2 linked regions of the Xenopus tropicalis genome follow. The protein of the gene in region 1 interacts with the protein of each later gene in a pairwise test. Links are inferred from orthologs where the notes say so. Each region holds a gene or a part of one and is shown in the gene's direction. Other genes may lie near its edges.

Region 1 (4,095 bases):
CCATGCACCTGATTATGCTCAGGGTCGGACTGGGCCACGGGGCATCTGGGAAAAAAAAAGGTGGACCCCCCAGCGGCCCAGACCAGATCCCTGTCGCCAATCCCCCAGCCGCCAGTGTCCCTCCCCTGACACGTTGAAAGTAAGTTTTGCACTCAGGGGAGGACATGGGGTGGGGGGTTAGGTGGGCACAGTGCAGGGTGTGTGGGACATGGCAAGGGCACCTTCAGGGGTGCAGGGCCCACTGGGGCTACTGCCTCAGTCTGACCCTGATTACGCACAGCGATGTGTAACTGATGTAATTATGGGTGGGTTTTAGGTCTTTTTTAACAGCGAAGGCAGGGGCGGGCCAAGCCGACCGGGCGCCCTAGGCAACCCGGTCGGCCAACTCCGCCCCCCCAACGACGCATGCGCGCCAAAGCACAGGAGGAGGTGCAGGGGGGGGCGGTGAGATTAGATCGGTCATTGCCTCCGCCGCTAATGACAAGCAGCGGAGGCAATGACAAAGTAGCACTAGGGGTAGGCAGAAGAGATGCCTGCCTGGCGCCCCCCAATCGTTGCGCCCTAGGCAGCTGCCTCTTCTGCCTACCCCTAGTTCCGGCCCTGAGCGAAGGTTAATATTAATTAAGTTGTGTATTATGGGAAGCATGGGGGGGGTGGATTCAAACAAAATAGGCAGAGTCCGAAAAAATGTGTGTTTGTGTACGTCTTTTTTCTACCTAACTTACTATGTAATAACAGTGGTCACCACAGTAACAGCCCAGTCTCACTCTAACCATAATTTGCACTGAAATTAGTGTTAACTCCAACTGAAAAAGGCCAAAAACCCATCCAAAATTACCTCAGATAAAGGCAGTTTTGGCCCAAACTGTGCGTGTAGTCAGGGCATATTGGAAGGTTAATTTTTATGAATTACAGGTGCAAACATTGCCTCAGGAGTAACTTCAGCAACATTTGCGTTCCTTAGACTAGTGAATGCCGCTTACTGATTGGTTGCTATGCGTTACTGCGAACGGAGCAAACTTGCAACCTGCTACTGCATTGCCCCTTGTTAGCTAATGAAACTCCACACCCCTGGCATACAAATTCTATTTATTTAGTGCACACTATGCCAATTTGCCCCGGGCTGCACATAAATACCCGAATAAGTAAAACCCACACTGTTCCAATGTTATGACTCCCTGTAAAAGCTAATCACGTCCACTGCTTTTTTTCGTTTTACACCGACCGAATGACTCCGCCACGGCGAGCTGCCAAGCACCAGCAAATCAACAGCAGCAATACACCTGCTGGCGCCCTCCCGCTCTCTCTGCCCAGCGGCGCACCTTGTCATTGGGCAACTCGGCCTGACGCAGGGCGTGTGACGGCTGCGCTTTCGGAACTGGTTTGTCCTGTGGGGCTTGCTGTAGGGAAATGGTGCTCAAGGCATAGAGAGGCTGGCAGCGCTTGGTCTCAGCAGGAAGAGACGCGCAGCACTGGAGGTCAGTACCCGGGGTGCTTCTGGCAGGTGTGTGGGGGAAGTGGGGTGCAGTGTGCGCAATGGGGGACCTGTCACAGCTGCGTTCGTCCATGTGCATGGCAGCGTTTGACAGCCCTCGGCGCCACAGCTGTTACATAAACTTCAACATCTACACATAGCAGCGCCGTGCAGGGCATACTGGGAGTTGTAGTTTAGAAACACGCAGAAGAAGGCTGCATATCCCTGGAGATAGCTGTGTGATTATAGGGTATCTGTGGCCGTGTGTCCGGCTGTCAGGCTTGTGTATGGCTGGCTAATGCCATAGTGAGTGTGACTGATGCGGGGGGGTGCCTGGGAGCTTCTGCAAGTGTAACATATCCATTTCTCTTCTCAAAGCAACAGGCCCAACACTATACTAACACCATTACTGTCTGCTATAGGGCTGGGCTGAAATGTGTTTGCCTTGGGCCCTCTGGTTCATAGGGGGCCCCTTAGGGGAAGACTGGAAATAGATGCAGTGTGTGGGTTGCTTTGGACACATGGCTGGATTTACTGCATTTGTTTGTATCCACATGTAAGTCCTTATTAAGGCCAAGTGGATTAAAGGAGAACTTAAGGCCAAGAAAAGATTTTAGCTGGAAATGCTCTGTTGAATATACTGAACTCACTGTACCTAGAGGTTTAACAATCCTATAATTGTAATGATCTAGGCCTTCAACGTTTTCTCCATCTTGGATTTTGTTAGGCCAGCTTTAAGTGTCAGTGGCATTGCACATGCTCAGTGTGCTCTGGGCTGCTGTTGAGAAGCTAAGCTTAGGGGTGAAACAGAAAATGAGGTTCCTCTGTCATAGAAGCTGATTCTTAAATTGAGGCAGAATGCATTGGTTTCTGATCTGCCGTGTAATTGGAGTCTGAATTAGCCTTGTATTGTGAAATTAATGTTTTATATATAGTATATTGTGAGTGGGTCCCTAAGCTCAGGTTATAGTGTGTCATTTATATTCTATATATACAGGATAGTGTGACATTTATAATCAATATATACAGGATAGTGTGACATTTATATTCTATATATACAGGATAGTGAGACATTTATATTCTATATATACAGGATAGTGGGACATTTATATTCTATATATACAGGATAGTGGGACATTTATATTCTATATATACAGGATAGTGGGACATTTATATTCTATATATACAGGATAGTGGGACATTTATATTCTATATATACAGGATAGTGTGACATTTATATTCTATATATACAGGATAGTGTGACATTTATATTCTATATATACAGGATAGTGTGCCATTTATATTCTATATATACAGGATAGTGGGACATTTATATTCTATATATACAGGATAGTGTGAGTGGGTCCCTAATCTCAGGCGATATTGTGGCATTTATATGCTATATACAGGATAGTGTGACATGTAAATGCTATATACAGTATAGTGACATGTATATTCTATATATACAGGATAGTGAGACATTTATATTCTATATATACAGTATATAGTGAGTGGGCCCCTAAGCTCAGGTAAGTGACAGCAGCACAGAGTATGGGCAGGGAATCAGCAGAAAAGAAGATTGGGGGCTATTATAGGTCAGGTGGATCTTGATTACACTGCCAGGGTCCTGGAACTGAATAAGATTAAGCTCCTCCCCCAATAAAAAAAAAAAGAATTGTCAGACCATATAGCCGGGCGCTTGGCTGGCCTTGAGGGCCAGATGAAAGAGCTTTCCAAACAATAATGTAACCTGCTGCTGTTGGAGAACACATTCCCCTGTGATTGCTCTGTAATGTTTTCCTTTTGCATAGTCACAGGGGAATTAGCTAGCGGGATCAGCTGGGGACTGGGCCATTATTCAATTACTGAGAATTTATGCTAAATCCTCGATGTCATGGCCTGTTATCATAGGTGGCTCCCAGGTTAGCACTGTCTGTAGAACTGGGGGTCCTGGGTTCACACTTTAAAAAGGGCCTGAAACGTGTTGTTACTATATAATAAAATGTGTTGTTTATCTTTTGAATTAGCTTTTAGTATGATATAGAGCGTGCTATTCTGAGACCATTTTCCATTGCTCTTCATTTTTTATTATTTGTGGGTTTGGAATTATTTAGCTTTTTGTTTAGAAACTCTCCAGTTTGGAATTTCAGCAGCTATCTGGTTGCTATACCAGATTATTATTACCCTAGCAACCAGGCAGTGGTTTCAATGAGAGACTAGAATATGAATAGAAGAGGGTTTAAATAGAAACATAAGTAATAAAAAATTACCGTAACAATAAAATTGTAGCCTCATATAGTAGTTTATGGGCTGCTAGGGACCCTATTTTAGGGTGAGGACACACGGAGCTACTAGTAGCAGCTACTTGTTGTGGCTACAGAAGCAGACAATTCTGATCATTTACAGATAACTGTCTGTGTGTTTTAGCAGAGGCAATTCTAAGTATTGTCTATGGCAGGGGATTTTCTGGCGTCAAGTAGTTGCTTCTAATAGAAGAAGATGGTCCAAATAATTCAAAACCTATAAAAATGAAAAGTTGCTAAGGATTGTCCATTCTATAACGTAATAAAAGTTAAACTTAAAGGTGAACCGCCCCTTTAATACTGGTCTATGATATATAT
Region 2 (4,229 bases), about 100 Mb from region 1:
CCTGTGTGTGTGCCATACTCTGCCTGCCCTATCCTGCCTGTGTGTATGGCACACACAGGCAGTATAGGGCAGGCAGAGTATGGCACACACAGGCAGGGTAGGGCAGGCAGAGTATGGCATACACAGGAAGGGTAGGGCAGGCAGAGTATGACACACACAGGCAGCGTAGGGCAGGCAGAGTATGGCACACACAGGCAGCAAGTGGGTGTGATTTAAAAAAGGGGAGCTTCCATTATCGGCCCTCCACCATATATGACGGAAAAATTCCAGCCCTTGGTACCACAGAAGTTGGACAGCACTGCATTAGTTGATACATTTCTCAGCAGTATCTGTGCAATGTTAGCAACTCTTAACTCAGAAATTATGCTCCGCAGGGCCAAATGTAAGAAATGTAATAACTAATGTATGAAATTAGAGTAGTGTATAGTGACCTCTTCCCAGAGGATTTTTAGAGAGATGAGAAGATGAAAAATTACACTTTGAACTTCAATATTAGAAAACCGGTCAAAAATAAAAAAAAATGGCAACTGAAAAGTTTTTATATCTGGTGTACTATCTGAAAACAAATAAACTGAAAAAAGTAGATACACTGTTTACTGGTCAAAAAGGACTTTTAGGGCAAAAAAACAAAAAAAAGTAAAAAGAAATTGATGTGTGTATCAAGGTAGGTTTAAAAGAAAGATTACTAAAGCAGTCTTCTTAGGCCCCTAACAAATAAATACATTTATTTACTAATGTTTTGGGGTCCTAAATTTAATTTACTGTGGGGCCCAGTAACATGTAGTTACACTACTGGGTTGGTGTCTCCTCTCATGGGGCTATACACTTAGAGCCATCCTTAAAGCATAGCAAAAAACGAGAGCTACATAGTGCCTATATATTAGATTTATAATTTAAAAAAAAATGCACCCAGTCTCTGCCCGCAGATTTCCTTAGGAAATCTGGTGATAGAGCTGGGGGCAGGTTTAGAGGTACAGGGTCAGGACACTGCGGAACTGATATCACGCGCAAGCTGCATGTGGGTGGAGGATGGGGCAGTGGAGGAGCTCAGACTGGGGTTGGGTGGCCCCCTGAGGTGGCAGCCCCAGTGAGCCCCAGACACATCAGTCTGACACTGTACACAGTTTTAAAAACTAACAAGATGCTTTACAAGGAACAAATATCAGAACTATCCCTGCAAATTAGGGGTTTGTGGTAAGTAAACTTGACATAAATTGAAAAATCAAGAGAATGAAGCAAAAAATGTATAAGGTTTCCCCAATACTGCAGGTTTATATGAAAATACATTGAATGTATTGAGCAGCATATTTGTATGCAGTACGCTGATCAAAGGTATAGTACCATAATAATAAAGCTATTTGAAAAAAAAAAAAGTGGTGCGCTTGTGGCTAAATCAGGCGTAGGCGGAGTTAAGGTCGGTGGTCACATGACGGCGGCAGGCAGCCCTTCTGTCGCCCCCTAGATTGCGCGCAGTCGCAATACAAGTCTGTTCCAACGGCCGCTGAGCGCTGCTGTCTGGCGAGAGTGTGGGGGGAATAAACTAACAACAAAAATAATAACAAAGTGACGCATCAAGAGTCCTCTTGCGCCATCATTACCACAGGCTGGGTCGAGCTGCTAAGGGAAAGAGAAGTCGGCCGTAAACAAGGAGGGGCGGCGAAGGAGCAGACAACAGGGAGGGGAACCGGGGTGTCTTTTTTTATCCAGTGACGCCCGTCCAGACCCCCGTTTTCTGGATGCTCAAGGAGAACGCTGCGCCACTGGAGCTTCCCAGTCTGCCTTTGTTATTAGCAGAGAGACGGGGCGGCGCGCTGGCAGCTCCTGTGTGGGCCCGGGAGGGCAGAGCAGCCCCTGAATCGCACCTCCATCCGCGGCCTCCTAGCTCACCCCGGAATTAAGAGAGGTCGGGACTAGGAGTAAGCAAGTGCGTGCCTCCGGCCTAGTCCCACCCATCTCCTATGTATACACACAGCTGTCATATATGTACAGGCAGCTGTCAAGTGCAAGCGGTGTCCATGAGCCGCCCCCCTCCTTCTCTTTCTCCCAAAGGGGAAATGTGCGCCCTATGCTGCCCCGTTTAAGGGGCAACTTCTTCAACTTCCCCACCCTTATGGATCATTTGTTGCCTTAAAGCCGGCATCTGCTCATTTGGAAGGCGGTGGAGTTTATCTGGCGGGGCGGGGGAGCATAAGTGGCACCCCCACTTGAAGGACCCAGTCTCCTTACCTGGCAGGCGCCTTTCTCCCCCACCTGGCATTGTGAGGATTAGGATAATCCGCCCCCAGCTCTACAAATGCCGAGGGAAGCCGTCATGCAGGCCCCACAGTTTCAGTACGACTTCTTCAGTGAGGAGAACTCCCCCAAATGGAAGGGTCTGCTGGTTGGTGCCCTGAAAAAGGTAAGAGGGGTTACAACATGGATGTTCAACCTGTGACAAACCAGTCTATTTCTGCAACACCCAGAGGCCACAGGCTGTTTTGTTACATGGAACCTTAAAAAACTCTGCCTATAAACTTTCCAATATAATTCAGCTACACATTTTCAATGGTTTTAATGTTATTTGTAAATGTAATTGCTATTGAAAAGTAAAACTCTGCTTGACCTTTTGTATACCAAGGCCTGTCTTTTTAAACAATGTAGCAGAAGGCAGCTAATTAACAGACCTCCAAATAATCATGCTTCTGCTACATAGTATCAAGAGATGGTACAAAAATACAGTTTTCAGTTGCAATTGCATGCACAAATACATTTAAAACCAATCATTTCATTTTAATGAATTGCATGTTGGTAAGTTTCTTAAAATTTTCATTCATTAGATAGCATTGTATTTGTGGGTTTTAAGTCCCCTTTTACATAAAAGTCAAATGACTACAGCTGTCCCCTGTCACTGGCCTTATTCACACTCCACACTAATTAAATGGATATGTATAATGGAACTTAGCTGGTCCAACTAGTCAGAAATGAAATCTCGGTCCTCTTTATGGCTGTGATATTTAGATGTCTGTTAAAACCAAGGCCAGATCTGATTTTAAGTACTGCAAGGGGCAAAAGTAGGTGTCAACTATGATCCTTTCCCACAGGTTCAAGGGTTTGTTCACTTTTTTTTCAGCACAGACATTTTCAGATGCAACAAGGCTTTTTTTTTTTTTTCAATTGCCTTCTATTTATTATTTCTAATGTATATTTTTCTAAAATTGAAGTTTAAACTTTAATGGTACTGTCTCTTGTGTTTGGCAGCTCAGCAATCCAGGTGCAGACCCTGAACTGTTACATTTTGCTACATTAGTTGATACATTTATCAGCAGCAGCTGTGGAATGTTAGCTGCTTTTAATAAAACTCCAGCATTATACTCAGCAGAGTCCAAGATAAGAAATGTAGTAACTGACATATCAAATTAGAACAGGTTACAGTGTCTGTGACTCCACCCTCTCCCAGAGCTGTTTTAAAGCAATATTAGAATACCAATCACAAATACAAATTAAAAAGCAATTGAATAAAATTATTGCTGGTGTCTGGAAGGTGAACAATGCCATAACGGTCACATTACTGTACATCTTATGAAAAACTTGTATAAAAAAAAATATACACCTAATTTTTATGTTGCTAGTGTAATACTCATTACAATAAAAGGTCTGCACATGCATGCAACCCAGACCAACAGAAAGTGATCCTTGGGAAAGTTTGGCAAAATGGCATTGCAATGCTCACTGGAATAGTACCTGGGCTGCCACGTTTTTCAGCCAAGAAGAGTTCTGGCTCAGGGTCTGAGGATATCAGTTAGAATCACTGGGGAGTGTACCCCTCAATGTTTAAATTTTAGACCTCCTCTAAGTGTTTTGAAAATGAAAAATTGAGTGAGTCATGTCAGACAGGTTTAGTAAAGGGAAACTTAGTAAATTATTATTTTTTTATGAATTTATATTTTTTTTTTCTCTGCAATGTAAACATATGTCTATTTTCTAAAATCACAGGTCCAAGCCCAACAACCAAATGTATATACATGTATTTGCTAGGTTCTTATTGTCATATTTAATCAGTCTTTTATTTCTGTTCAGCCATTCTTCTGTTTGTCTTCTATTCTGTCATTTAGGCCAATTCTTGACTTTTATGGATTTGGATCAATGATTCTAGCAATCTGGTGACAGACTAGTTTTAGCAGTTGAAATGACAGACTAGAGAGCTCCTGAACAAAAAATGTGAAATAGTAAAGAAAAAAAATTCAGATATT

The links. The genes of interacting proteins can lie anywhere in the genome.
Region 2: the proteins of itsn2 (region 1) and sos1 interact in a two-hybrid assay, tested with the Homo sapiens proteins (2 studies listed by BioGRID and IntAct). The link is inferred for Xenopus tropicalis from reciprocal best matches to the Homo sapiens genes ITSN2 and SOS1.

What each region holds. Positions count from the first base shown.
Region 1 is NC_030681.2:145,826,535-145,830,629, reverse strand, and holds the start of itsn2 (intersectin-2), read left to right. Parts: upstream 1-1,295; 5' UTR 1,296-1,478; intron 1,479-4,095.
Region 2 is NC_030681.2:42,909,061-42,913,289, forward strand, and holds the start of sos1 (son of sevenless homolog 1), read left to right. Parts: upstream 1-1,429; 5' UTR 1,430-2,293; coding exon 2,294-2,398; intron 2,399-4,229.